Linked DNA regions of Notamacropus eugenii. The protein of the gene in region 1 purifies or fractionates together with the protein of each later gene. This does not show direct contact. Links are inferred from orthologs where the notes say so. Each region holds a gene or a part of one and is shown in the gene's direction. Other genes may lie near its edges.

The links.
Region 2: the proteins of DDX5 (region 1) and HNRNPA1 purify together in Homo sapiens (affinity purification with mass spectrometry; 4 studies listed by BioGRID and IntAct, with this or other methods). This does not show direct contact. The link is inferred for Notamacropus eugenii from reciprocal best matches to the Homo sapiens genes DDX5 and HNRNPA1.
Region 3: the proteins of DDX5 (region 1) and DHX9 fractionate together in Homo sapiens (co-fractionation; 3 studies listed by BioGRID and IntAct, with this or other methods). This does not show direct contact. The link is inferred for Notamacropus eugenii from reciprocal best matches to the Homo sapiens genes DDX5 and DHX9.
Region 4: the proteins of DDX5 (region 1) and FUS purify together in Homo sapiens (affinity purification with mass spectrometry; 5 studies listed by BioGRID and IntAct, with this or other methods). This does not show direct contact. The link is inferred for Notamacropus eugenii from reciprocal best matches to the Homo sapiens genes DDX5 and FUS.

Annotation. Positions count from the first base shown.
Region 1 is NC_092873.1:327,525,302-327,532,674, reverse strand, and holds the start of DDX5 (probable ATP-dependent RNA helicase DDX5), read left to right. Parts: upstream 1-4,370; 5' UTR 4,371-5,062; intron 5,063-5,445; coding exon of another isoform or gene 5,446-5,467; exon of another isoform or gene 5,468-5,578; intron 5,579-5,780; exon of another isoform or gene 5,781-5,870; intron 5,871-5,924; exon of another isoform or gene 5,925-6,085; intron 6,086-6,408; 5' UTR 6,409-6,533; coding exon 6,534-6,577; intron 6,578-7,373. Other genes in the region: CEP95 (centrosomal protein of 95 kDa), read right to left, coding at 2,611-2,718, 3,590-3,718, 5,446-5,467. UniProt on the Homo sapiens protein: Involved in the alternative regulation of pre-mRNA splicing; its RNA helicase activity is necessary for increasing tau exon 10 inclusion and occurs in a RBM4-dependent manner. Binds to the tau pre-mRNA in the stem-loop region downstream of exon 10.
Region 2 is NC_092874.1:227,403,410-227,410,952, forward strand, and holds the start of HNRNPA1 (heterogeneous nuclear ribonucleoprotein A1), read left to right. Parts: upstream 1-4,522; 5' UTR 4,523-4,690; coding exon 4,691-4,705; intron 4,706-5,326; coding exon 5,327-5,443; intron 5,444-5,671; coding exon 5,672-5,818; intron 5,819-5,946; coding exon 5,947-6,157; intron 6,158-6,259; coding exon 6,260-6,352; intron 6,353-6,442; coding exon 6,443-6,535; intron 6,536-6,959; coding exon 6,960-7,034; intron 7,035-7,301; coding exon 7,302-7,460; intron 7,461-7,543. UniProt on the Homo sapiens protein: Involved in the packaging of pre-mRNA into hnRNP particles, transport of poly(A) mRNA from the nucleus to the cytoplasm and modulation of splice site selection.
Region 3 is NC_092873.1:462,361,161-462,368,066, reverse strand, and holds the start of DHX9 (ATP-dependent RNA helicase A), read left to right. Parts: upstream 1-3,888; 5' UTR 3,889-4,040; intron 4,041-5,497; 5' UTR 5,498-5,518; coding exon 5,519-5,629; intron 5,630-6,248; coding exon 6,249-6,389; intron 6,390-6,906. UniProt on the Homo sapiens protein: Multifunctional ATP-dependent nucleic acid helicase that unwinds DNA and RNA in a 3' to 5' direction and that plays important roles in many processes, such as DNA replication, transcriptional activation, post-transcriptional RNA regulation, mRNA translation and RNA-mediated gene silencing.
Region 4 is NC_092874.1:377,559,239-377,566,390, reverse strand, and holds the start of FUS (RNA-binding protein FUS), read left to right. Parts: upstream 1-4,136; 5' UTR 4,137-4,215; coding exon 4,216-4,228; intron 4,229-6,366; coding exon 6,367-6,391; intron 6,392-6,478; coding exon 6,479-6,633; intron 6,634-7,152. UniProt on the Homo sapiens protein: DNA/RNA-binding protein that plays a role in various cellular processes such as transcription regulation, RNA splicing, RNA transport, DNA repair and damage response. Binds to ssRNA containing the consensus sequence 5'-AGGUAA-3'.

The DNA of each region.
Region 1 (7,373 bases):
CAGTGCTTAACAAATATTAAGTGCTATATAGATGCTTGCTGATTGCAATTTATTAGCATTATCTTCTAAAAATTGTTTTTAATCAACTTTATCTCTCAACATATTACTTCTATCTCCCTCTCTCAGAGAGCTATCCCTTGTAACAAAGAATAAAGAGGGAGAAAAAACAGTTCAGTAAAACTAGCACAACAACCAAGTGTGACATAGAGCGTTTCATACCCTTAACCCTCCATCTTAGCAAAGAAGAGGGAAGTGCATTCCTATTTCTCCTTTGGATTCAAATTCTCAGAATTTGTTTTCAATTTATGTTGCTGGGTTTTTTTCTTTTACATACTTGTAATCATTATGTACATAGCTTTTATGGTTCTGTTAATTCACTTTGCATCAGTTCATATCAAGTTTTCCCATGCTTTGGTTTTCTTCATATTCATCTTTTCTGATTACATTTATATGCATTTATTTAGCCAACATTCCTTTTATTTTTAAGAGGACAGGCTGAAATGGCACATCCTCTAGTTATATTTTTAATAAGATAAAAAGCATTTAGTGAATTTTTATCAGAGGGAGACATTCTACTTGAATTTATAGGTCCCTACCTGCATGAAGATGCTACTTTGTTCAGGAGAAATTTGTTGGGCTAGAGCCTGGCTGATTGACTGCTGTACTTGAAATAAAGAAGACCTGGGTGCAAGTCCTGCTTCTGACACTTACTAACTGTGTGACAATGGAAAAAATCGTTTAACCTCTCTGAGCCTCAGTGTCTTCATCTGTAAAATGGGGATAACAACACTTGTAGTACTTATCTCAAAGGGATGTGATGTGAATCAAATGAATTAATGTATGAAAAACACTATGTAAATATTTACCATATAAATACTATTTGGATATGAAAGATAAGATTTCATATAGTTACTTCTTCATACACACTTAAGAGTTCACACTTTTTGCTAATCAGGTAGGCAAAAACATGCAAGGAAACTAAAGGGGAGGGACTTTCTTAAGCGCTATTGAAACTGTTAAGAGCTTAACTGTATTGGCAATGCAATTCACAAAATGAACTTAAAAGCCTATGAAAAATATAGCCTTTATGTGTAAAGACCATTTAAACTTTTTTTTATCTCAGTACTGGCAGTAGTACAAAACAACATGAGGAGAAGTAATGGTGAAAGTTTTGGTTTTGAGAGAATTCACTTATTTATTCATAATTAAAATGAATAAGGCTCCATTTAGTACCACTCATATGGGTGGTATAGCAGATTTTTTTGTTTTAAATAACATTAGATAATGGTTATTATTTTACACATCCAGAGCAAGAATTTGAAGCCTAGAAGAACTCCTGGGAATAAAAATGAGGAGTAAAAAAAGCTGAACACTCAATAAAACAGAAATTGCATAGTTTTCATTTCCTATCAGAATACACAATTGTAAGTAACTCCAGGGTGTCTCTGCTTTCCAGGGTGGGGAGAACAATTTAGCTGCTCAGCATCCCATACTGTGTATTGTAATTACACTCTCAATTGAGTTCCCTTTAATTTCTGGCCCCAATTTCCTCATCTGAAAGATGAAGATGCCAGTCTTAACTGTGACTAATAGAACTGTGACATTAAAACTATGTCATACTAACTCAGCTTATTTCATATAACTTCTCACTGTTGGAAAACCAGATGGATTGTACCTACTTTTTGCTCCTGGACACACCATGAACTTTCCCACCTTCTTGGATTGGTTCACACAATCTCATAAGCCTAGAATTCCCTCCTTCCCTCTTCTCTAATTGAATTTCTACAACTGAATGCCACTTCTATGAAGTGTTCTTATTTCCCTCCCCTAAACCACCACCATTTGACCATTTATTCTGCACCTCCTAAATGAACTTATATAGTAAAATACATTATAGTTATCTGTCTTAGTGTCTTAGTGACTTGTTTGCAAGTATGTAAGATCCAACTGAGCAGGAAGTGTGTTTTCAACTTTCTATCTCTGATTCTTAACAAGGAGCAAAGCACCAGATGCTTAATGTCTGAATATAAACAAAATGAAGGAAAATAAATGAACAAATTAATTTACTAGTCCCATTCCCTCATTCTTATCAATAAGGAAACAAGACCAGAGAAGTTAAGTGATTTGATGAGAAAATAGTGGCTGGAAGGCTTGGGAGAGCGTATGTTTTTGTAAAAGTATTACCTATGGACTCAGAAGAGACACAGGTTCCAATTCACCTCTGTCATGTTTTCCTGTGTCTGATCATGAGGAAATAGTCATTTCTATTCTTCAAGTCTCAGTCTGTTCATCTGTATAATCATGGCCACAATACTTGGATTATTATCATAGGATTGTTGTGAGGATCAAATGAGAATATATGTAAAACACTCTGCAACTACATCAATGCCAAGTGCCTGGTACTGAGCGGGAAACTGATAAATATTTGCTACTTCAAGGCTTAATTACAAAGGGGCATTAAATTACAGATCTCTTGACTGTAAATCCAGTGTTCTTACCCTTTCAGCATCTGCTCAATTAAATGACGCATAGAGTCCAAAGAAACAAAATAATTTCCTCAGGAAAAATATAATTGTTTGAATTCAGTTTGAGATGGTTCACGTTACTAACCTGTTATATGGGACAAGCTGACCTGCAAGTAATCCAAGGCCAGTGAATCAATAATTGCTTGTACATTGTGTGCATGATCTTCTTGGTTCTTAGGGACAGTTATGAGGTCTGTGAAGGAAAGGGAAATAACATTGTTTTATAACTGCAAAATACCAAATTCAGAAGATGTTGACTAATCCAGGTCATCAGGGGGTCTAGTGTAGGGGTGTGGCAGCAGAAATGGTGGAGAGGAAGAGGACCACAGAATCTCTAATCAATGATGATTCATTGTACATGGGCAGTAAGTTATGTTAAAGATGACTGAGGAAACAGTGGGAAAAGCACACTAATACTGACATAAAGAATTCAAATTCTGAAAGACAATTAGACTTCAAAAGGCAAAAAAACCCAACAAACTCAGTTCCCTCAAGTAAATATGCTTTTTTTTCTCCTAAATTAAAATGAAATTTAAACCTTTAAATGCTGACTGGATCTTATACAATCTCAGTGCCATTTTAATGTATCTATTCAGCAGAGCTGCAATTAAGCAGTTATTAAATCCTGACAAAATGACTTAAAACATCATTGTTTAGTCGTGTCCGATTCTTCATGACCACACAGACTATAGCATGCCAGGCCCTTCTATGCTCCACCATTTCTTGAAGTCTGTTTATGTTTATTGTTTCTGTGACATTATCTATCCTTTTCATCTTCTGACTTCCCTTTTCCTTTTGCCTTCAATCTTTCCCAAAATCACGGTTTTTTCCAAAGAGTCCTGTCTTCTCATTATGTGACCAAAGTATTTAAGCTTCAGAATACCATACATGGATTTAGAATTGGAAAAGTTGTGTTTGTCATCAGGGCATTACAGCACGGATGTAACATTTCAATTCAAATAGGTAGAATTCTTTTTTGTAATTGCAAAAAGACTAAACTGCAGTGAAAGTCCTGGGAGACAAAATATAGGAAATAAACTGACCCCATGTCTTAGTATTCTTACCTGGTACTACTTCTCCCAAGATAGAATGATAAAGAGTAATAAACACATTTGCATCACACTCAGAAAGAGACTGTATCCTCAGCCAAATATGACACTTCAAAAGAAGGTTATTGGCAACTGATACCCACTCTGGAAAAAAAAAGATGTAAAAAAATGTTATCGAGTTGGAAAAAAGCAAATCTAAAAAAATCAAGTATGGAGTTCTGTTTACTTAAGTAGATAAGGAATCAAAAAAAAGCTGTCTTTAAACTAAAAATATTTACAAGTGTAGGGAAAAGTCATACTCTAAATATTATTCTGAAAATAACAGCTCTGACTATAAATTCCTAAAAGACTTAGGTTTAGTTTTGTTAGTATTTTAAGTAAATTATAAATTTATCCACTTTTGAGATACTGTTTTTACTAACAGAATAGAAATAATCAAAAGTAATCAGTACTACATTTTTAAGATTGTGTATGGGAGCCCAAATGTTACTTCATCACAACTTTAAACTGCAGCTCATGATGTGAAAATAATGGAACACCAGGAACTTTGAAATGGTGAGCTTTTGAATGTCAAAATAATTTTCATCCTTCTAAGATGAACATAAGCTATGATTCCATTAGTTTCTCCGCAACCACCACCTTCTCCATGAAGCTGCTGCTGGTGTCCTGGAGTCAAACACTGCCTTGCATTGATACATAGTTACGTGCATGTTGTTTCCCTCCACAAGCTTCGGGAGGGGAGGGGTTATTTCACCTTTGTCAGTTTCCTCAGCGTTTAGCTCGCAGGAGGTGCTTAAGATTGATCTGATTCTGGTAAAACTGATAACCATCATAGGAAACCAATTCCCTGTCATTCTGGCACTGGAGACCTATCCAGCAGTACTCACTCTCCACGGTCAAGCTTCCCAAGCTACTACAATAATGGACTGCGGTGCCCAAAGCAGCTGTCTGCTCCTGGACAGCAGCAACTCAACCAAGGCACAAAGCTGGCCATTCTACAAGACAGACCTCGAGTGCCGGGGTTTTTTTTTTTCCTTTTCACTGAACTTTTTCAGTCTGTCCTGTCTGTATCTCCTTTGTACCCAGCGGCTGGGTTTGCCTTTCTTTGTACCCTCAGGGTTCGGGGGTACTTCCCGGCGCACCGAAGGCTCTAAAACAACGCTTGCTGACTTAATTTGACAACCCTCAACGTGAATATTTCACACCATAAACACATTACTAGGTAAAGCTTTAAGTGAAAAACCGAGCTGGTTGTTCTGCTGCCAGACCCAAGCAATACGTAGATAACAGGAATTAGAAAAGGAAGACCAGGGACCTAACTTGGAGTTTTCACCAACAGCTTTCCGGTCGGAAAATGTATTTTGTTCAGGTTCCTTCAACACAAAAACCACGACTTCCTACAATCAGCGCAAATCTACCTTCTCAAAAAGAACAAACGCGTGAGAGGAGCTGCCGAGTGGTGCTCAGACCTGCGGAGCAGCGTTTCGGGTGAGATAACCAAGCTCTCCCTCCTCGCCTGCCCTACGGAGCCCGGCGTGTGCTCCCCAGACCTAGGCCCGCTGGGGTGCCTCCCTCTCAGCTGGCAGGTCCGCCTCGGGAGGGAAAGGGGAACCCCAACAGGGGACACATCACATAAAACCACCCTCGGAACACGCCTCCCAGGGAGCCCGGGGTTCCCCAGAGCGAGTTCTGGAGCTCAGCTGGGGGTGAGAGGCATGGGCTCAAAGCGCTTTCAGGCTAGGTAAAAACGCTTCACACCCGCCAGCCGGCAAGCCGGCGAAGGGGAGGAGCGGCGGCCCCGCGCATTCGCAGCGTGCACACTTCCTCTTCCCCCGCCACCCATGGGTGTCGGCTTCAGCTGGGAGACTCACCAGCCTCCTCCCGGGCCTCCATGTCCGCGAGAGCTGTACACCGGCGGGGCTCGCGGGGAACGGTGTCCTGGAGGGACCGTTAAGGGAAAGGAGTGTGGCGGGGCAGGACGACGCGGGGCGGGGGGGGGGAGGGCGAGGAGAACCGTAAGGTAACTGGGGGAGGCGAGGGAGGGACGTTAAAACGGCTTCTCGCTGCTGATTGGCCATCTGGGTGCACTTCCTGTCGCTGCACGCGGCCAGGCAGCGGTTTAGGGGCTACTACTACAACTCCCCGCGGGATTATTCCCGCTTCAGGCTTTTCAGGCCGCTCCGTCGGTTAGACAGACCGGTGGCCGACCTAGTATAACCATTCAACCTAGGGAGGTAGCCGGCCGGGTGCCGGGGCCTGCCGCCCAGCTCTACATTTTTCGTATACCTCCGCCTAAGTGAGTGGATAAATAGTGCAGTGGCCGGCCCAGTGGGCTGCGGGTTACGCTCACGTGATCGGAGGAACCTCCGCCTCCTCCTTTTCCCTGACCGCGTACTGTGGTCCTTGAGAGTCGCAAACGTCTAGTCTGGGGTGGTGACGTTAATGTTTTACGGCCTGCCTTAGCGTAGGAAAACCTAAGAGTGAGGTTGACTATTCCTGAATTGGTGAAATGTAAGGGCGTTCCCTGAGAGAAGGGGCGAAGCAAAGGGAAACATCCGCGGGTGGGCCGCTAAGAGTTAATAACGAGCTAAGGTGGGGGAGGGGTGCTGGGCTCGCCACCAGAGGCTAGAACATGGCGGCGCTCGGAACGCCTGCGGGTGTTGTTACCTTAGCGTCTTCCCCCTCCCCCTCCCAGAAGGGGGTGGGGCGATGAGGTCATAGAGCGGTTCCCATCGCGCTTTGCGGCGGAGGAGGCGGTCCAGGTATAAAACCGGCTGCCGGGAGCCCTCTGGCTCCTCATTCATTTCCACCGGCTTGGGTTCCTCTTGTTTTAGCTGCAGCCTCCGTCTCAGTCCCCGCCCCCGCACGGCCTCGCGACCGCCGAAGCCACCTTTCCCCCCTCCCCTGCGATTTCCCGCTTCTCCTCGGTTGCTTCCCTCCAACCGCAACCATTGACGCCATGTCTGGATACTCGAGCGACAGAGACCGCGGCCGGGATCGAGGGTGAGTACGGACATTTGTCAGTCGCGGCTGAGAAGGGGTGGGGTGGGGGTGGGGTCGAGAGGAAGTGGGCTGGAGCCCTGTCGGCGACAGGAGGCCTCGGGCGCCGGCGGTCCGCGTCTAGTGGCCCTGTCCCTCAGTGCTGAAGGGATGTAAGGGTCTGTTGTGATGCCGCTTATTTTCATGTCTGGGCTGTGATTTGGGGGGACAGGCCCCAGGTGGGGAGACGAGGTAAAGGCGACGTCAAGCGGGGGTGAGTGCGGCGGGATGGTCTGCGGCATTTGGGGAGCCCCAGAAAAGTCCCCTAATCAGCCTGGCTTGGGGGGGTTCCGAAGCCGTTCGGGCGCGGGGGCGGCCGGTCTCTGCCCCGTCGGGGAGCTGGCGAGACAAAATGCCGGCCCCGGACATGGCGGCGGCGCCTTTGTTACCCCGCCCGGCGGAGGAGCTCAAAATGGCAGCTTTGAGAAAATGTGGCGCAGAGTGAAATGCTAGACAAAGGGGGAAGCGCCGCCCAAGCGGGAACGCGGCCCGGCGGACTCCGCCCGGGGCCGCGACTCCTCCCCTGGTACCCGGGCGGCCCCTCCCTCCCTCCTCGGCCTTATGTAACCGCGGTTACCTTCATCTTGAGCCCACCCACCGGGGTGCATAATGAGGCTCCCGGGGGACCTCCCCTTGTTTGGTGGCGAGCTGTCAGAACTCGGGCCCTTCTGTTATCTGCCTTCCGCTCGGAAACGTTCGGCTCTAGGGAACAGCTTGGTGTAAAGAAATGGGATTGTTGATCTTTTATCTCCCCTTTTGA
Region 2 (7,543 bases), on another chromosome or scaffold:
TGCTCAATACAGTTAATAGAATCTCTACCAGCTTATTCCTCAATCTGGATTTTTCAATGGCAGAAAAAGAAAATTGAATATTACATGACTAGGTCAAATGAGAATTTCTTTGGCACAAAGAGCACCTCCGCTGCTTCACTTCAGGGCTGACCAAGTTAGCAATAATAGATGTAAAATAAAAAGTCCCCACTTGCATAATGGCAGGGAGTTAACAGGATAAAATTTACCAGAACATTTACTTAACACCTTGGACTAGAAGTCAATTCATATTAAATTTACAAATTCTATCCATAAACACGGTAGACTATTCCATGAGGAATAAATGGAGTGGAAGGGGGGAAGGAAGATTGGATACAAGTTAAAAGAATTTCCTAAAAAATACAAGTCAGTCATTCCCCAATTGATAAATGGTGAAAGGATATGAACAGGCAGTTTTTCAAAGAAATCAAAGCAATATATAGTCATATTAAAATGCTCTAAATCATTACTGTTTAGAGAAATACGAATTAAAACTCTGAGATATCATTTCACACCTATCAGATTAGCTAAAATGACAGAAGGGGAAAATGACAAATGTTGGAGGGGATATAAAAAAATTGGAAATTTAGTACACTATTGGTGGAACTGTGAACTAATCCAACCATTTTACAAAGCACTCCGGGATTATACTCAAAGAATTATAAAACTGTGTATACCCTTTGTCCTAGCAATACCACTACTAGATCTGTTTTCCAAGGTGATCAGGGTAAAAGGAAAAGAACCTACGTTCTAAAATATTTAAAGCAGTTCTCTTTGTAGTGGCAGGGATAAATTGCAGGGATGCCCATCAATTGGAGAGTGGCTGAACAAGTTGATATAGGATTTGTGATGGAATATTACTGTGTTATAACAAATGATGAGCATGTTGATTTTAGAAAAACATGGACAAACTTGCATAAAATAAGAGAGCAAAATGAGCAGAACCAAGAAAATGTTGTGTACAGTAACAGCAATATTGTTTGAGGAATAACTATGAACTACTAAGTTATTCTGAATATTATACTCAAATCAATTACAAAGAACCTATGAAGGAAGATGCTATCCATCTCTAGAGAAAAAACTGATAAATAGAAGTGTATATATATATATATATATATATATATATATATGTATATAGTGTAAGGTTTTACATACATGCATATATGCCTACGTGTGTGTATGTACACATACATATATAGAGAGTGTGTGTATATACATACACACACACACACATCAGTCTCAAATGGTGGCCTTCTCTAAGTTCAGGATGAGGAGAGAGGGTAAAAGGGAGACAGTTTAGAACTTAATATGTAACGAAAAAATTTTTTTTAAAAAGAGGAAAATTCTCAACAAAACAAACTAAATCAAGAACTGTTGCTTACTTTAGCTGTACAACCAAGAACTTCTGGGGTTGAACCTGAAGCTGTTCAGCCTCCCAATCCTTACTCACTTAATCTGTCATTCAAACTGCCATGTTCACACATTTCATATTTAACAGGCTGCAAAGGTGAATCCTCACAGACAAAGAAGACACCTTTTCCCAAAGATGGTAAATCAGCTGTCCATTCTTGACTGGAAGAGGGAGTGATTTGGGGACCTAGTTTCCAAAGAAAAAGTGTGAACAAACCACTTAATTAAAATGGCTTGTTAAGAGGTCCAACCTAGCTGAAAATAAAAGAAATAATGAAATAAAGTCCACTTTGAACAAAAGCACATTCACACTCATTTTAAGCATTCAACGTCTGTGAACACAATACAAATGTATAGCAATTAACAGGTCACAGGTTAGTAACAATAATAAAAATTTTAATGAATTTTTGTTTTTATTCAACCATACATGGAAAACACAAAAAATACACTTTTCTTGGAAAATGTGAAGCCTATAGATCTGATTTATCAGATCTTTAAATAAAGAGTCCACACACTTGTTAATCTGGTTTTCAAATACTACTATCATATGGCATATCTCTTTCTCCCTATGTTTAATCTCCAGTTTATATGAAAGGCAGATAAAGGTTCACATGAGATTCTCATCAAATGTGGTATTAAATCAAATTATTCATTTCCCTCCTACCTTTAAAACAAATGATATAATGATTAATTTTAACTCATCTCACATCACACCTTGTGGTCAAATACTGAGATTGTGACTAGTTAGATCACTTTCAGATACATCCTGTTATTGTGGATAGAGAGATAGTCTTGAAGTTAAGAAAATATGGGTTCAAGTCTAGTTTCTGACACATATATCCTGGTTGAGTGTTCCCCGGCAAGTCACTTAAACTATCCCAGGAATTCTGACACTTTAAGGAGTTTGATTTCCTTACTCTGTGCTTCCCTAAACCAAGGAAATTACAGGGCCTCCTCAGAAGATTTCATCTTTTGCATAGATCACAGAAAATGGAAATGAGCAGGAAAGCAAATTTTGAGTTTTTATTTACCAAATGTCTTTTTAAAATTTTATTTCTTTTGTGTACAAAGTCAGAGGGGACTATATAATAAAATTTCCTAAATTATGCTACTTCCAAAGAAGCTCAATTATTAACCCTTACTGAACTAGTCTGGAACAAAGCATCTGATGACATTTCTTTCATTCACGAACATGTGAATAGGTAAGTGTGGATCTGGAATCACCTCAATTCCTCAAGGATTCATCCTGGTTATTGAAAGGCTTCTGGATTCCCCAAGGCATGGCTACTTGGGAAGTTTCCTCATTTTACAAGTGAGGTAGTTTCAGATGACCAGATGACTAGATAGAGAGAGGTCTGAAATTTCCTTCATTGCAAAAGAAAAGGGGTGAAATGGGGAAGGTGTGTGTGTGTATATTTGTGCCTTAAAAAGCAAGTTCCAGACAAATATCTATGTTATGTTAAAAAATAAGGCTCCAAATATGTGGTCTTGGTGTACATGTGTGTTAAGAAGCAAGGTTCCAAAGAAATTTGTAGTCTTGGAGTGTATGTACGTGTTACAAAGAAAGGTTCCAGACAAACATGTGGTCTTGGATGAGGGTGTTATGTGCTAAAAAGCAAGATTCCAGAAAAATTATGTAGTCTTGCAGTGTAAGTATGTGTTACAAGGCAAGGTTGCAAACATGTGGTCTTGGGGTGAGTGTGCCTATAGGGTACAAAGCAAGGTTGTAGACAAACATGTGGTCTTAGTCTTTCCCTGGCCTGCACTGAACCCTAAGAGGAAAAAGGGCCGAAGAAAAGGCAAGCACTGATGATCAATCAGGCTTACAAGCCTCAGAACAGGACCACAGATGGGACTGGGCAAGCCCACAGACCTCCGTGAAAAACAAGTCATCCCCTAGGGATCCCCACCCCCAAAAGGCAATCCTCCTTCCTCGGAACCCCAAATCTAAACCCACCCCCCGCCAGAGCGCTGATTGGGCCGTCTCCCCGCGCGCTTTCCTTGGTTTGACCTCCCATTGGCTATTCGCCTGGTCCATCTATCTGAAAGACCCAGCCCTCATCTCTCACATTGGGCTCAGACCCTTGTCTCTCTGGCGAGCCCAACCTCCCCGCGCACTTCTCTCCAATTTGCTTAGAGCGTCCCAGCTCAGGAAAGAACCCGCCTCCCGCCTTCCTGTGGCCCAAGGATCGATGTCAGTTACTAAGAACCACCAAATGGAGTCTCAATTGGTCTACGGTCTTGTCAATCTTATTCATCCATTGGGTTCCCTCCTATACAGCCATTGGACGAGAGGACAGGCCATCAGGACAATTACACCCGCCTCCTGTTCGCCTATTGGTTGATCAACCCTGTCGCTCTTCCTCCGCCCCCCCCCACCCCAGCGGTCCATTCATTTCACACAATAACGGGCCCGATTGGAATTGCTCCAAGGACCTAGAAGTGTAGACATGGTTGTTTTCCACTTACCCGGGACTGAGAGCGTTCTCTCACCCTAACCTTGTCCCCGTTCCTCTGCGAAGAGGCCGGACCACAAGGAACCACCGCCGCCTTCTGCGCAACGCCAACCGCCCGCCAAAACGGATCCGCCGCTGCGCTTGCGCACGCGATCCAACGAAGGACCCTTCCTCCGCCCACTGCGCATGCGCATAAAGGGACAAGACTCCCGCCACTGCGCAGGTGTATTACATAGGTCCGTTCTTCCCCGCCATTACACGTTGTACAAATAGCCGTCAGGTCTTTTTACTGCGCTTGCGTTAATTGGCTGTGGCACTACGCATGCGCTCTCAGAGAATAGAAGCCCAAGAAGTAATTGTTAGTCATTTATTATTTTTTTAATTTTTCACGTTTAATAGTGTTTTCCTCCCTAAATATAGCGTAATATTTTAAACAATTAAAAATTAAAGTTACCTAAAAAAAACTGGTTACCTTCAAACAAGAGTGACTGGCAGGAGAGCCAATCAGGCGCTTTAAAAAAAAAAAGAACTTCTCAGAAGCCAATCAGCAGCTTCCTCGGGGCGGAATTTACGCAACGCATTACGCTACGCAAAGATGCGCTACCATAGACCAATCGGTAGCTAGAATGATTGGAGCTATCCAATGGTTGACAAGGAGGGGAGGAGTCTACCAATGCAGAACGCGAGGAGGCGGGATTAAAAAGCGGGTACGAAGGTGGGGAGACAGAAACGCTAGTTAGCTATCTCCTTTCTGTTCTCGACACCGTTGGAGAAGGATCGCTGAAGCTTTTGCTACCGCTCTCACCATGTCGAAGTCAGAGGTAAGGGAGTCGCAGCCCAACGATTGTGCTATCTCGTTCTTCTCTGTTCTGTTCCCCGTATCCTCTTACGGTGCTTAGCCCAATACGCCTCTAATACGACCTTTATCCGTGAGTTCTGTAGCCTGCTGTCGCTGTGGCCTGCTCCTTCCACACCCCCCCCTCCTAGGTCGCCATTTTGTAGGCCCGGCCGCCATGAGCCTTTAGCCCTCGCGGTCCTCGAGTTACAGGCTCTTCGAGTGCCACCGGCCCAAACCCTTTGTCTCGTTTGGCCTTATCTCCCCTTGATTTGGGGCTGGTTTCGATTGCCTGACGACCAGGTTTTTTTTTTTTTCGTTTGTATTCGCGGTCATCCACCCTCTCTTTGTTGCGCATGCGTTGTTTTTTTGCCCCCTTTCTTTACCCACCCGTACCCGGGCTTCTGACAGGCGGGCCTGGGCGCTAGTGTAAACCTCGGGCCCACTCTTTGTCCCCTGCTGGGGGGGGGGGGGGCGCGTGTACTTTAAAGCGCAGCGCCTCTTTCAGCCAGGGTCCCGCGCCGATTCCCCCCCCCCCCCCCTCCCGACCACCAGCCATGACTTAAAGACCCTTCCCTTTTCCAATTCTTTGAATCGTGTCGTCCAGTCCCCCAAGGAGCCCGAGCAGCTTCGGAAGCTCTTCATCGGAGGCCTGAGCTTTGAGACGACGGACGAGAGCCTAAGGAGCCATTTTGAGCAATGGGGCACGCTTACAGACTGCGTGGTGAGTGCTGAGGCCCGGGAAGTGGCTGTACATCCTGAGAAAAATTCACACGTGGGGGTGGGGGGTATCTTTAAAATGTGCTTTTGTTGGAAATAACTTCCTCTTAAATTGGTTAGTGCAAGAAGCTCAGTGGCCCATCATCTGCTTTTGTACTTGCAAGAGACTTTTGTGCCTTTTATTGCCTTTACTGCTTACTAACATGTTGTCTCTGCTCCCTTAATGTCTCAGGTGATGAGGGATCCAAATACCAAACGTTCCAGGGGCTTTGGTTTTGTTACCTATGCCACAGTGGAAGAGGTAGATGCAGCCATGAATGCTAGACCTCACAAAGTTGATGGCAGAGTTGTTGAACCAAAGAGAGCTGTATCTAGAGAGGTATGTTCCTTCATCTTTTTGGAAGTAACGATTTATAATACAGGTTGGGTTAGTCCTTTAAGGCTTCTGCGACCTCGAGATTGTGAGTTTCCTAGCCATTTCCACCGATTGTTTTTCGTCTTGTCTAGGACTCTCAAAGGCCAGGAGCCCACTTAACTGTGAAAAAGATCTTTGTGGGTGGCATTAAGGAAGACACTGAGGAGCATCACTTACGAGACTATTTTGAACAGTATGGAAAAATTGAAGTAATTGAAATCATGACTGACCGAGGCAGTGGCAAAAAAAGAGGCTTTGCTTTTGTTACTTTTGATGACCATGATTCTGTGGATAAGATTGTCAGTGAGTATCACAAATGGTATTGGAAGTAACCAAGCTTTGTAAATCTTCTTTGTTGAGATTTACCGGCAGTTAGGTGTTTCTAATTGGAGATTTTTTTCCTAGTTCAAAAATACCATACTGTGAATGGCCACAACTGTGAAGTAAGGAAAGCTTTGTCTAAGCAAGAAATGGCCAGCGCTTCATCTAGTCAGAGAGGTAAGTTTTCTATACCACTGGTTTGGTTGCCATCTTGTGCTTATTGTCTCCAGTTTTTTAAGGGTGGTCTTTTTGTGTGTGTGCGCGTAGGTCGAAGTGGTTCTGGGAACTTTGGTGGTGGCCGAGGGGGTGGCTTCGGTGGAAATGACAACTTTGGCCGTGGTGGGAACTTCAGTGGTCGTGGTATGTATTTTCACAGTAAGCAAGCAGCAGTACTTTTAATTTTGTTTGGGCCTTCTGTTAAAGCTTTTAGGTATTCATGTGGAAAAGAGAAACTTTGCTGCTTCCTCTCCAGTCTAGTGACCATCCTTACTATTTCTTTCTGGACTTTTGTCAGGACTTTGCTGCCTGTTTGGTAGCATTCCTCTGATTTATTACCATTTTGGACTGTTGGCTTCAGGCAGATAGTTTGGTCACCAGTGGTTTGGATATGGTGTTATTCTTGATTTGGTACCTAAGTTGGTTATAGTAAAGGTAACTTGGCTGGATGAGGATGACTAGGTTTTTGTTTTGTTTTGTTTTCTTTCGTTTTTTTGTTGGGTTTTTTTTTTTTTTATTTAGGTTTGATAGCTGATGCCCAACTGAATGCCTTTTTTTTTTCTTCCAGGTGGTTTTGGCGGCAGTCGTGGTGGTGGAGGATATGGTGGAAGTGGAGATGGCTACAATGGATTTGGAAATGATGGTATGTGCTAAAATCTTACTTAGAATATAATTATATCAAGTTGGGTAAATAAAAGGATTCTTGGCCCTTCCTCTCCCCCATTAGAACAGGCCTAGTTTTGCTTTTTTTGTTGTCTTTCTTTTGTTTTTTAAGTGCTGCATGTGTTGAGCTTGACCTGATTGTCCCAACATAACATGCATGCTGTGTATTGGCCTTGAGCCTTTAAGCTTGCATGTATTTTTTGACTGTCAAATTTGTCTTACTGAGAAGAATTGTATTCTTCTGTAGGTGGTTATGGAGGAGGCGGCCCTGGTTACTCTGGAGGAAACAGAGGCTATGGAAGTGGTGGACAGGGTTATGGAAACCAGGGCAGTGGCTATGGCGGGAGTGGCAGCTATGACAGCTATAACAACGGAGGAGGCGGAGGCGGCTTTGGCGGTGGTAGTGGTAGGTATCAAGTGAACCCAAACAAGTATTATGGTGTGGTAGTCTAGATTAGTATTGTAGTTTTTCAAAAAAAAATCTTGTTT
Region 3 (6,906 bases), about 130 Mb from region 1:
CTTGTGTTACTCAGATTTCTTTTCCTTTGTATTTGAAGACCTTCTCTTGATCACTTGCAGAACTTGTTTCTGAAATGATGTGTCAGATTTAACTATCATATGTCTTGGAGTTTGTAGCCTTGGATATTTTTCTGGAGGTGACGAATTCATGAATATTTTTCAATTGCTATTTCATTTTCTATCACAGAAGGTCTGGATAATTTTTCTTCTATTATTTCTAGCATTGTGATGCTGAAGATTTTTGTGTCCTGTTATATTCTTCTAGGAGACTTTTGATCTTTAGGTTGTCTCTACATGGCCTGTCTTCAAGATCAGTATATTTTTCTTGCATAATAGTGAATATATGTTCTTTTAATGTGATTGTTTTTTGCTTTTCTTCTTCTATATTGTCCTTAACTTCTGTATTTTTGCATTTCCAATCTATTTTTCTCTCTTTTGTTTCTTTGGTGATACTTGCCATCATAAATACCAGTTTTTCTATTCTGCCCATTATTTTTGCTACACAACCATAAATTCTGCTTTAATTCATATTTCTCCTTTGAACCACTCAGGAATAGTGTGCTGTGATTCTATGTTGTCCTTACATTCCAAGGTCTTCTGTCTCATTAAGTGTTGGAACATTTTCCTTTGTTTTATAGTATTTATTCATGATTTGCTCTCTCTAAAAGCAATGTTCCCTTCTGTTGTTAGTGTTTTCCTTGTTGATTTATTTGCTTGTGTTCAAGGTCTTTGAGTTTTCATCTTCCTGAGTTCATTTCAGTCTTTTTTCCTTATTTTCCCCTATAGCTTACTTTCTGATTCTGCCCTCTTTGATGGTGGTTACTTTGGGGGCTAGATTTCAAAGTGCCCCAGCCTCCTCTTGCACTGTGCAATTCATGATTCATTAGCTGAGGTCTCTGCCTCAGGTGACCTTTGGGTTGACAGAAATGGCCATAGCTGGATGCTGAGCTCTTCTCTGTGGTTTAGTGAAATGCTACATGGTTCCTCTACTTTCATAGTATATTGTTTCAGTGTTTTGTTCCATTCCTTCTGTTCCTCCATTCTTTGATCTGATACTGTTAGTACAGAGCTTTGTGGTCTGGTGGTACAAGATAGTCTGTCATAGCACTGTCTGTCATGGCCCCCAGCAGGCTTCTGCTTCTGAAGGGCTCCCACTATACTGGCTGTCACAGCCCAAGAAAACTTATACAGCCTGGCGTCAGGGGCTCCAAAGCACTGGAAAAATGGAAGGGGGATGATAGTGTGGAGTTAGATTTTGTTGCAAGTCCATATGTCGGATGCTTGGGTTTTCTAGTGTAGCCTCACTGTCGTAGCATAGGAGGTGGGAAAAGGATGCTGAGTGAACTCAGGATAGGCACCAGGTCATGGTGCAGTTTTTTTTAACCTTCTTCTGGATTCTAGAGCATGGGAACAGTTGAAGTTGCTTTATTTTTGGTGCATAATTTCTGTTTTAGAGAGGTTTAAGAGGTTGTAAGGATAAGAAGAAACGTTTAGTTTTCCATCTTCCACTTCACTTGATACTTGAGTTGCCTTTCTCATTCATGAATTATCATCAATAGTTAGCTTTTATATAATGCTTTAAGGTTTCCAAAATGTTTTACATATGTAAGATGACTGGAATATGCACAGAATGGCACCATGACATGTAATGGAAATACCTTGGAGAAACTTGACCATACATTGACATTCTGGAACTGGCACTGGTCTGTTAACCATGTGGTTAAGAGAAGCCTTTTTTGTTTGCCTGTGTAGGTGGAACTGGAGATGTCTTCAGAAAGGTCAGAGTCAAACTGGGGTCTGTGACTTTTTAAAAAATATAGCAGTATTTCAGTATAATTTGGTTTTTTTTTTTATTTTGTGCATTTAAAGACATCATTCTGAAAGGGGCCCATAGAATTCACCAGTCTGGCAAGGAGGGCCCTAACCAAAAAAGATTAAAGACCCCGTTCTAGTCCCTTAATCATCATCATATTTGACTCCTCTCTGCTTGAAAAGTTCCAAGGAGAGGGAATCTACCACCTCCGGATGCTGCTCATTTCATTTTTGGATATTTATAATTATTAGGAGGTTTTTTCTGACATCAAGCCTAACTTTGCCTCTTTCTTTTATCCATTGTGTGTAGCTCTGTTCTAACCAAATAGATCAGTTCACAGCCATGCAAACTATTATTGTTTAAAATAACTTTTTATTGATAGCTCTTGTTTTTATGCTGTTTATATTTACCAATATAAAAGAAGCTATCTTTTATAACAAAGAATAAGAGGGAGGGAAAACTGGGAAAACTAAAAAACTTATCAAAAATATCTACATTAATATGCAGTATTCCATATACCTAGTCCTTCAGCTCTGTAAATACTAACTCTTAAATATACTCCCACTTAACTGACACCTAAGGCAACAGGTTCCAATACTGGGAGCTAACTCAAAAGATCAACCTCTCTTTGGTCCCTCCCGGAGTTTATTCTATGAAACTCTAGAATACAGGGGTTCCCCACACTAACGTCTAGAAGAGAAATATGAGTAAAAAGTATCTATTTTTTTTTACTTATCACTATCCTTTTAACCTGAATAAGCACGAACATTAACGTACATTTACTTAGCTTTTAAGTGAACGCTTCTTTCGTAGAAGTGAATGAATTCGCTGAATTTGAATGAATTTCAAAATTGTAACATAATTAGTTCATAATGATTACAGGATGTGATAAAAAGACATAGATCATCTGATAACTGTTCTCAGAATTGCTGTTATTTTTCACACTGTCTTCATTTTATTTTCCTTGTTCACAACTCCTAAAGGCACGTTACTGGGGTATTTGTGTCCGTGTCATAAACTGACTTCACTGACTTTTACTGCAATTGCAATAGTTACAGCGTTTAGTAGATATTTCGCAGTAAAGCCCTTCACCACCGATCTCCAGCCTATCTTTCCAGGCTGACTGCGCTTCTCCTCACAACTCCGTGCTGCCGTTCCATGTGTATGTGACCTGCGCGCTGTCCTCTCGTACACGGCGCTCCATCTCCTGTCTCTCGTTCCCGGAGCGGTGGCCCCTTCACCTCTGCCTCTTGTAAAGGGTCACCTTCTCCAAGAGGCTTTTCCTCTCCTCTTCGCTAAAATCAGCCCACCTTTAGTTTGGTACGCTCGGCCCAGGTCAGGGGCTACCTTGCCCGTCTGCCGAGCTCAAGCACCTAGAACAGCTGCTAGCACGGACTAAGTCCTTAACTCGGGCTTGTTTCTAACAGAACTGAACTGGTCCGTTAAGGTTCGCGTGAAAATCCGGTCCCGTCAAGGAGACGGGAACCAGAGGACCACAGCTAGAACCCCTTCTTCTGCGTCTTGGCCAAGAGGGGGAGGGCAGCCTTCGTCATCACTGACGTTCCTCACGTTGCTAACATACTGTAGTTACTGTTTCAGCCTGGAAAAAAAATCCTGGGATTTCCGGACCCAGGCGACCACCTGGGGCAACCTCCGCTGTGTGGACAGAGGAGGACACCGAGGCTTAGCTTGCCCAAGGTCACGTGACGGAGGCGCGGCAGGTGGACCTTTTCCAGGGTCCGTGTTCTTTCCCTGAAAAGTCCGAGTTTCTCTTCGCACAATACGTGGCACGCAGTCTTATGAAAGGCAACCTTCATGCTCACAAGAAAGTGCCCCGGTGCAGGCTGCGGGACTCGGGTCCGATGTCCAAGGTCCTCCCCCAAGGGATCGGCCACAAACGGACATCGGCCCCGCCTCCAGAGAAATAACGGGCTCTCCCGAGCGGTAGCCCCTCCCACCCACGACGGTGGCTCCCCCTATTGGCTTCCTTCCCCCAATTATCCCCGCCCACCCCTGCGTCTTTTGCGTCTTTGGTCACGTTTCCCGCCCCCATGCCACTTAAGCGCACGCGCAACTTTTCTTTCCGCTTTCCTTCTTCCGCTGCAGTAGGAGCCATTTCGCGACGGGCTGCGCGCGGCTGGCTGTGTGTCTGTGGGGCCTCTCTGAAGGAACCGAGCCACGCGCGACTTTCGGAAGAGCAGCTCTTGGGGACACGGGGAAAAAGGCGGTAAGAAAGGGGAGTCATTCCCGTCTTTGGACGCGGCGAGGATGAGTGGGCGGAGACTGTTTTGTTTTGTTTTGGTTTTTTTTTTTTTTTTTTTTTTTTTTTTTTTTGCTCCTCTGCAGTTACCGCTTTGTCGCTTAGCGCGGGTGAGGGGGAAGGGTGGGGGTGGGGTAGCCTTCGCAGTGTCCCGGATGTTACTGTGCATGCGCGTTCTCGTCCTTGTGCGCATGCGTCAGGAGGGAACTCCGCTCACCCAATTCAGTAGCCTTTTTACTACCTCCAGTTTGTGTAAGAGAAGTGAACGTATGTTTTGGGAATCAGGTACCTTCGCCGTTTATTCTTTCTCCCAGATAAACAAGCGAACTTGTGTTTCTCTAGTCTTCCATAATGACACTGTTCGTCGCCATGAGCTCCCAGTCTCCAACTTGGGCACAGTAACAGACTCCCGTAGTTGTGGCTCCTGCCACTTTCTCACTACTTGGGCCTGGTCGTTGTGTGATCTTCCTTTTTTTAATACCTGAGTGTGACCCACGATCCGCTTAGCTTGCGCTTTGTGAATCTTGAGGTCCGTAGTAGGTCTAGATTTGCCACGGGCCACGCACACCTTGGCCGAGCTCTTCCTTATTAATTTTGAGGCAGTTTTATGGGTCAGCAGTCCTGGTCGCCGTTGGTTTGGCAGCTGACCAGATACAGATGATAGTTATAAGACTTGGGTGCACATTTTCTCTACCTGTAACTTTTAAGAAAGGCCTGTGACTCAGCATCTTCAGATACCAATGTTGTACGGTCAGGTTTTTGGCATATAAGAAGCCATTGTATCTTTTACGGTGGAGACTACCATAAAAACCTTATTTTCCCAGAAGAAAACCTCTTATACATATTGCGAATTTGCAAACAAGTTAAAGGATGATTACCTGTAAACTAATCATAGGTCATAGAGCTGGAAAGGGATTTCTGGATGATACCTAGTTGAGTGCCACCCTTTCCCCTAGGGCTTACAGTGATTTCTCCAAGGCCTCTCAGCCAGAGAGAAAATGGAATCCAGTGTCTTTTGGCACAGAATTCAATTGATTACTTCACCCATTATGTACCATGGGTATCTTGTTTTTCGTTCCCCAAGTACATTAAAAATATTTCAGTAAATGTGTTTCTGATTACTCAGGAGTGTGAAAGGAATGGGACTTCTAGTGTTACACTGGAGGAGGAGCTTGCTAATTGTCCATAATCTGTAGTTCATGTACTTAATTTCCTAAATGTAATATGTGCCTAGACATACCTTAAGTCTTAAGGCAGAATGAAGTACATAGTTGGATAACACAAGATGTTCTGTATACATTTTAAAAAATTTTACCAAGTTTGTATTTATTTGTGTGTTGAAGTATCTTGCTCTGTTCCTTTGTATATGATGATATGCATTTCGCTGGTGTTTTGAATTTATTTTTGACTTTTTCTTTCTCAAGGTTTAACAAGACATTTACATCATGGGTGATGTCAAAAATTTCCTGTATGCATGGTGTGGGAAAAGGAAAATGACTCCAACCTATGAAATAAGAGCCGTGGGGAATAAGAACAGACAGAAATTCATGTGTGAGGTACTAAAACAATATAATTCTTTATGTGATTTATAAGAAATAAAGTTTATATTCAAGGAAGGGAAATTCTATCTTTGAAAATAATTATGCGAAATATAGTTAGGAAGTGAGGTGTAGGGGGTAAGAGTGTATGTGTGTGTCTGTCTACTTGCTGAACTATGTTGATAAGAGGTTTATACCAGCTTAGACATATTTAAATATGGACTCCCTTGTCCATACCAGTAGGGCAGAACAAAGGAATTGAGGCTAATGAAAGTGCAACAGTTTATCAGCTATATGCTCACTTGTTCTATTAACTATTTCCGGAGTTGGAGCACTACTGATGTACTATATACATAAGTGCTTGCTTTGTAATATATAAAGAAAGCTTTCTTCATGAAATTATCCAAATTTTGCTACTGAATATGCTACTATATGAGTACAGAGGATCTAGATTTTATTGTGTGGTAATTTTTTCCCTAGCCAAATGCTGTATGTGATTATTCAAGCACCTATACGAGTGGAGCTGTGTATTTGCCAAGGGTTTGTAGAGAGCTATTCTAGAGATTTGTTATTGTTAGACATTTGCTGATGTCCAGATTCTTTATTAACTCTTGAAGTAATTTTTTTTCTGTTTCAGGTTCGAGTGGAAGGTTTTAATTATACTGGCATGGGCAATTCCACCAATAAGAAAGATGCTCAGAGCAATGCTGCCAGAGATTTTGTTAACTACTTGGTTCGAGTGAATGAAGTTAAGAGTGAGGAAGTTCCAGCTATTGGAGTAAGTATAAAATTACTCTGCCTCAATTATGTGAGGAAACTCCAGGATACTAATTTTGTCTACTTTGAAGCATTTAAAATTTTCCTTCAGATACTTTAACATTGCTCCAAACAGTAGCAGGGTCCTGAACTAGGTTTCAGAAGTTTTAAGTTTTGTTCTACTTTGGTATTTACCTGCTTTGTTATCTTGAGGAAATCCTTGAATTCCTCTCTTATAGTTGCACATTATCAAGGTAATTTTTATTAAGAGCTTCATTATGAGTTAGCAAAAAGGTATTTTTATTATGAACAAAATAGTAATCCCCTTTCGATTTTAGGGGTTTTTCTGTGTATCTATCCATGTATTTAATGTGATTGGGGATAAACATTTATTCTATTCTGTTAAACTGTTAACTTTTTGCTGGTACTTTTTTAAGTATAAGCGCTTTCCATCTTTATTAATATAGTTATCATTATTCTCCCAAACCCAACCCCTTCCTAGCTTCTGTTTACCTAAGTGATACCACTATCCTTCCAGT
Region 4 (7,152 bases), on another chromosome or scaffold:
CTATGGACTATACTTAGACTATTCAGATTGTGTACCATATTTGGCCAAGTTGTATATTCCCCATTCTTTAGCGTACAGGTCAATATTCATCTCTTAATACTTACTTCATAAGGTGTAATCACATAAATGCTTCCCTGTCACATGGAGATATAATCTTTCTCCCCTCTTTGCACCACCTCAGTCTCTAGGGAAGGGAAGAAGTTTAGGTTCATGGATTCCCGTAGAATACAGTTTCTGTTTCAAGTCCACAGCTCCTCTCAGACTGGAGTCCCAGGCATCCTGGTTTCTCAGAGCTTCCATGCTAGCCTGGCTGCCTGCACTACCCTACTTGTAATCCTCACTCCAAGATCTCTATGGCTGGAACTACTGGTCCAGTGGGGCTAAAGATGGAAGAGAAGAGAGTGACCAGCTCAATGTCACCAGTTTTAAAGATGTAGGTAGCCAAGGACTTCCCTAGGGAAATTGGGCCTGCTCAACATCCTTGTTACACCTGATTCAATTATAATGATAATACACAATTTCAGTACTTAAGGGTTTTACAAAGCATTTTCTTTTTTTTTTGCATTTTCTTTTTTATTTTTTCTGTTATATATATTGATATCTTTTCTAAAATTTATTTAAGTTTTCAACATTCATTTCCACAAAATTTTCAGTTCCATATTTTCTCCCCATCTCTCCCCTCCCCCACCTCATAATGCCTTGCATTCTGATTGCCCCTTCCACCAATGTGCCCTCCCTTCTAACACCCCTCCCTTCCCTTATCCCCATCTTCTCTCTTGTCCTGTAGAGCAAGATAAATTTCTATACCGCTTTACCTGTATTTCTTATTTCCCAGTTGCATGCAAAAACAATACACAACATTTGTTCCTAAAACTTTGAGTTCCAACTTCTCTCCCTTCTTCCCTCCCCACCCATCCCCACTGAGAAGGCAATCAATTCAATATAGGCTATATATGTCTAGTTTTGCAAATGACTTCCATAATAGTCATGTTGTGTAAGACTGACTATATTTCCCTCCATTTCTGCCCCTGCCCCCCATTTCTTCTATTCTCTCTTTTGATCTTGTCCCTTCCCAAGAGTGTTTACTTCTAATTGCTCCCTCCTCCCATTTGCCCTCCCTTCCATCATCCCCCTCACCCTGCTTATCCCCTTCTCTCCTACTTTCCTGTAGTATAGGATACAAAGCATTTTCTTTACAAAATGTTATGAGTTAGGCAGTATATTAGCTCCATTGTATAGCTGAGGGAAACAGACATAAAGTCTGATTTGTCCATGGTCCAAGATGGGCCTTGAACTTGAACTGACTCTAAGAGTGCTCTTTATTACAATAGTATGCTGTCTGTCGTCCTTATATAACCTTTAGAGCTCTAGTCTTTGATCAGGTACTTTTGTTGACATATAATTATATGTGTAACATAGATAAACCTGGAATCTATGCTTGTTTTATCTTCCCATTAGATTTTCAAGTTCCTCCAAGGCAAGAATAGTATCCATCTGATCTAATCAGGCTCCACTGATTTTCTTTCTTTTAAAATATTTTTGGTGCTCTTTTTCCCTATTATGACTTTTCCTGCTCCAAAAGAAAACCTTCTTACAACTAAGTATAATCAAGTAGATCACTACATTGGTTTTCTCTAAAGGGTATGCCTCATTCTATACCTATAATCCACTGCCTCTCTCTTTTCTTTGCTGCCTCTTCCACATTTTGGTCAGCAGCCTTCTTACCCTGAAAATACCTCTGTCCCTCTGGTCCTTCATCTGACTGGTGAGGTCTTTCACATGGAGCTAAGTTCTGCTGAGGGACTCTCTGGTCCCTCATACCCCTGGAATGGCAACCTTCTCACTGAGAAGATGCTTCTTCCTCTGGAGCTCCTCTTCTATTCACGATTCCCTTCTCAAGACTAGGAATTCTCCAGACCATCCACAGTTACATCAATTCTATCTTGGCTTAGTGCCTGACCCGCCTGACTTTTCCACCTTAGCCTCACGTAGGGATGTATCCTGTTGGTGCCCCCTTCCCCTATTTCCAACCCCCTTTTTTATGTTATCTTCCCCCTTTAGAATGTAAGCACATTTAGGGTAGGGGCTGCCATTTTGGGGCTTCTATTTTTATTTCCAATGCTTAGTGTAAGTGTTTAACTTTATCTATCTTCTATCTATCTATTCCTTATTAGCCTTCTGAAGTCAAGATTGTTTTATTGATGAGAGAATTCTGAAGTCTTTAAGTGTAATTTATTTATTTTGGTTATTACAGAATTCTTACTTTGTTCTGAATATGTTTTCACATTCTTAAATTTCTTTGAATTCTTCATATTCATCATTTTCAATGGTAAAATAATTTCATTATGTTTAAAAACCACACTTTTTTCAGCCACTTCCAAAACTGACAGGCACGAAATTTGTTTCTGACAAGTACTCCAATAAAACACTCTGTCATATAAATAGGTGGGACCTTTCCCTCTGGTTTTGATCTCGTTGGGGGTATATTTCAGTAGAAGTATTACTGTGTCAAAGGGTATACAGTTAATGATTTTGGGGGTATAATCCCGCATCGTTTGCCAAGTTCATGGGCCAGTTCATGGGCACATCTGCCTTTTCATAGCCCCTTCACCATTCACTATTTTTCTTTTTTCTCGTCTTTGTCAATCTGACAGCTACAATAAAATCAAGGCTATCTTGGACTGGTGAAGGCTGGCCTCCCTGCGGACTTTCCTTTCCTGCCTCCACTTGCAGGTCACCCTCTCTGTGCGTGTTGTGCACTCGAGTGGACACAGTGAAGGAGCAGGTTAGCAAGCACACGATCCTAGAATCCACCCTTGGGTCTTGTGATGTCCGAGCTGAGGAATCCTCAGAGATCATCTGGGCCAGGGTCTGCCTGCAACTAAGAGAGCTAAGAAATCTCGTTTTTTCAAATAAATTCTTTCTCCTTCTCCTTCCCAAACCCCTTGTAACAAAGAATAAAAGAAAACAAGGCTCAGCCCTCTCCCACAAGGGAGGACACATGGGCTCAGGGGGGGCACAGTTCCGCTTCCTCAGGGTACATCTCAAACCAGGCTCAGGTAAGGCTCATCTTTAGGATCTTCCCCACATGTAGATAACGAGCTTTCCTCTAAGAAACATGATCCACGTACAGAGATTATTAAAAGACTATTTCTTTCACCACAGGAAGTGCTTAAGACACGAAAGAACGAACAGGCCCCTGTGGATAGATACAACATCTCAGCCAGCTCAGCCTACCCAAGAAAACGTGCCCTGGAGTCCCAGCGGTTACAGAGCGGGGAACCGTCTGTGCAGGGTCGTCACAGAGGCTGGGAGCGGCGTGGGGGAGGGGAGGGCCTTCGGAACGTGCTCTCCGGCCTGGTCCGCACGAACCTCTTCTCCAGTCTGAATAACGGACACGGCAATAAACCTAAGCCCGTCTGCAGCGTCTGCCAGAGGCCGAGGCGTAAACGCTCACACCGAAAAAGGAACCGCTGGGGCTGGCTCCAGTACACTGCTGCCCGGCAGGGGGCTCCCGGGGGAGGGGGGGGAAGGGGAGCATTACGGCGGGAACTGAGGGGTTACCAGGCTGGATTACGGGGGGAACTGTGTGTGTATGGGGGCCGGAGGCGGGCCAGGCCCCCCGGCCTCCATTGTAACCACAGTGCAGCAGCTCCTCGCCTCCCGCTCCCGGAGGAGGCGACGGGTGGAGGGGAGAGGAGGGGGGGGAGGACTGGCCAACTCCTCCGCTCCAGCCACCGGGCTCCGGAACAGAGCCTGACTTCCTCCCCCTCAATCACCACCAATGGTTCGTTCTCGTACGGCCGTCACCCCTCCCCCTTCACCTCCCCTTCCTTTCTTTTCCTGCCTTTGCTTCAAAGCGTACCATTTTTCTATCCGTAGGGGGAGGCTACAGGTTTTCTGATTAGAATGAAACAATATTACCTCTATGCCCAGCGTAGACAAAATGGGCAAATAAAAAGTTTCCTATAGTCTATATTTTTCATCTCTTTGTGTAGATCACCTCTCAAAATTCCCTAAGTTTGCGTTCGTCCCGTTACATTTCTGCCCGCCCCCATGTCCTAGACTTGGTACAGCCCTCTGCGGTGCGTAGGAGGAGGGGGAGGAGTACATAAGTTTCAGCGCAGGGGGTGGGGTTTTTCAGTCCTCGAGGCGTCGGCGGTCGGCTGCCTTCTATTTTCTGTTGCTCGGCAGCCGGTGTGCGCGTGCGCGGACATGGCCTCCAACGGTAAGAGCTCGTGGGGGAGGTGAGCCGATCCCTGATCGCCTCGCGCGACGGTTGGGTTAGCATTCGGAGCGGCCTGGAGCCCTTTTTGGGGGCCTGGAGTCGGGAGGGAAGGTAGTATGGTTGGATGGGTTGTGGCCGTGTCTGGGAGGAAGGGTCTCATTCTCGCGCGGTCTAGGCGGGAAGTAAGCGGAGGGCGGTAGGCGGGGAGAAGGGAGGCCGCTGTCGCCATCTTGTCCCGTGGTTCTGGCGCGTTAGTGTAGAAGAGCTGACTGGTAGAAGGGCTTTTTTGTGGTATCCTCTTTTTTTGAGAACGAAGCCCCCGGCGGCCTAGGTAGTAGGAGCATAAAGCAGCCGAGGGGAATAACGTTCAGCGCCTTCTCCCGCTGCGAGCTTTTCTCTGCCCGCTTTGTCGCAGTGCCGCATCCGGGCGACTTTGGTGCGCACGCGCGTGGGATCCACGCCCTGCCCGGGAGCGGAGGCCTGATCGGGGTGCGCGCGTCCCTCCCCCCAGGTTCTCAGCATCCCAGATTCTTCCTGGCTCCTCTGTAGACATCCCCCACTCAGCGTTCGCTCTCGCCCCCTTTTCCTGATTCTCTCCCACCTTACGGCCGAGGTTTTGCTCCCAAGGATGGACAGCCTGGCAGTCGGCCGGGAGAGGAGGTTTACCAGGACCCCTTCCCTCCTAGCCCGTTCACTAACGGCCCCGGGAGATCACTTTTGGTGCGTTGGGATTCAGGCCAACCTTCTTATGGAACTCCTTTGTTGAGCTTCTCTCCTTTAGCACTATGAAGGAAGGGTTGGGATTAGCTCTGTCTCCTTGAATGTAATTTCTCTTTATGAGTGGAAAGGGCCGTTTTTTGTTCTGAAAGAATCGGAATTCATGTTCTCTGCCCCAGCCGTCCTTGGGTAAGCAGGGTGATAATTCTGCTTCTGATGGGCATGACCCTTTAGCTTCCCTGGTTGTTGTAATTTGAGCCTTCCTGCAGCCCCGTGAAAAGTAGGGCAGGTAGTCATGACTACGAAGAGATTCAAGCAAGTAAGATTACTTAACCTCTGCCAAAGTCTGAGAAAGGGGCAGAACCCGGACAAAAAAACAAAACAAACGCCACGTTTCTTAATAAGAATGGAGGAAGACATCTGTCTACTTTGGTTATTTGGCTTTCATACTATTCTCCAAAAGAGCCTCAATCCCTTGAACTTAAAAAGGGGTGAGATTTCATGGAAGATGTTTATCTGAGGAGTTCAATACAATGAGACTTCTGGAATACCTCTCTGCTCCATTTCCTGCGAGTCCTTTTTGGGGAGGGAGGACGCCTAAAAAACTGCTTAGCCTTTCTCTGTCTTGGTCTTTATGGTCATATTTCTAACTGTTTGAGTTTTAGTCAGGAAACGTTGGGAATTCATTTTACGAAAATTTTCGTTGACCTTTTTTTGTTGTTTTCACATCCTTTTTATTTCCAAATTATCCTGATCTCATATCTCTACCCCAAACTATTTCTTATAAAAAAGAATAAAAATGGTACCAAAGGCAAGCTGGCAAAACCAATCAAACTCCCTTCCTCCTTGTCTCTCCCCTCCCCATCCCCTTTCAAATAGTAATTATCCTACCATGGATATTCATATCCACATAAACCTACAAAGGAAATTTCGATATATACTCATCTATTTTGGGAGGTATAGCTTGGTATTGTTTCCTGATCCGTTAGCCTTATTTTTAATCAGTTCACATGAATCCTCATGCTTCTCAGAATTCCTCATAGTCTTCATTTTTAGTCCATTTTTCTATGTTTTCACATATACATGAGAGAATGACTTTGGGATGTTTCAATGAATGTGACTTTGTAGACATTGGTGTCTATGGTGTTTTTCTTTAACTTCTTTGGGCTGTGTTTATCATTATCCTTCACGCTGATTTTTTTTTCTTTCTCCAGTCTTTTAGAATGAAAGAAAAATTTTTTTCCAGAAAATCCTCACTTCTATGAACTAGAATATTTAGCTTTATCCTTTTTGTGACACTGCTCCCTCTTTTTAAATTATGCTTTTTTGAGATTAAGCTTTTTGAAGCACATAGGTTTCTGTGTAGGGTTGGTGTATGTACATAAGAGTAATATAATTAAACTTTTTTTTTCCCCTTACAGATTACACTCAACAGGCCACACAAAGGTGAGTATGACATCAAAGGGAATACACTGGTGGCAAGATGTCCCTGTCCCAACTTTCATTTTTTTGATAATTATGTTCTTTTTATAGCTATGGAGCTTACCCTACCCAGCCTGGACAAGGCTATTCCCAACAAAGCAGTCAGCCCTATGGCCAACAGAGCTACAGTGGTTATGGCCAATCAGCTGATACCTCAGGCTATGGTCAGAGCAGCTATGGCTCCTCCTATGGACAAACCCAGAACAGTAAGTATTTGTCATCTTATTCTGGCTACCTTTTTAAAAACTACATTTGGAATCAGGATTTTAGATTTCAAAGGAATTCAGTTTAACAAACATACATTGAGACTTCTGAAATCTCCAAATCCTTTTGTTGCATATCTTCATTTTTTAAAATAAAATCTTTGTCTCATCCCTCCTTAAACCCCAGAATTTAATATGCTAGGACTTCCTTTTACTTTTAAAATGTATTATCCTATTATCCTTTTTTCACACCTCTCTCCCATTAAAAAATGCAAGTGAAAACAGATTTTTATTAGGTGCCCATCTACCCAAGTGGGTAGAGATTAATTTCTTTTAATTTAGATTTGATACTGCTTGAGAGTAAGTGGTTCCACTTTCAAGGAGCTTTTAACTTAGACAGCACTAACTCAGTACTTAAATGTGACACAAAGTGTAACTGACATTTTGAATAAGAGATGCTGCTAGTTGGTAAGATTGCAGAAAATAGGTTGAAATAAGAAGGAACTTAAAGGAATGTTAAAA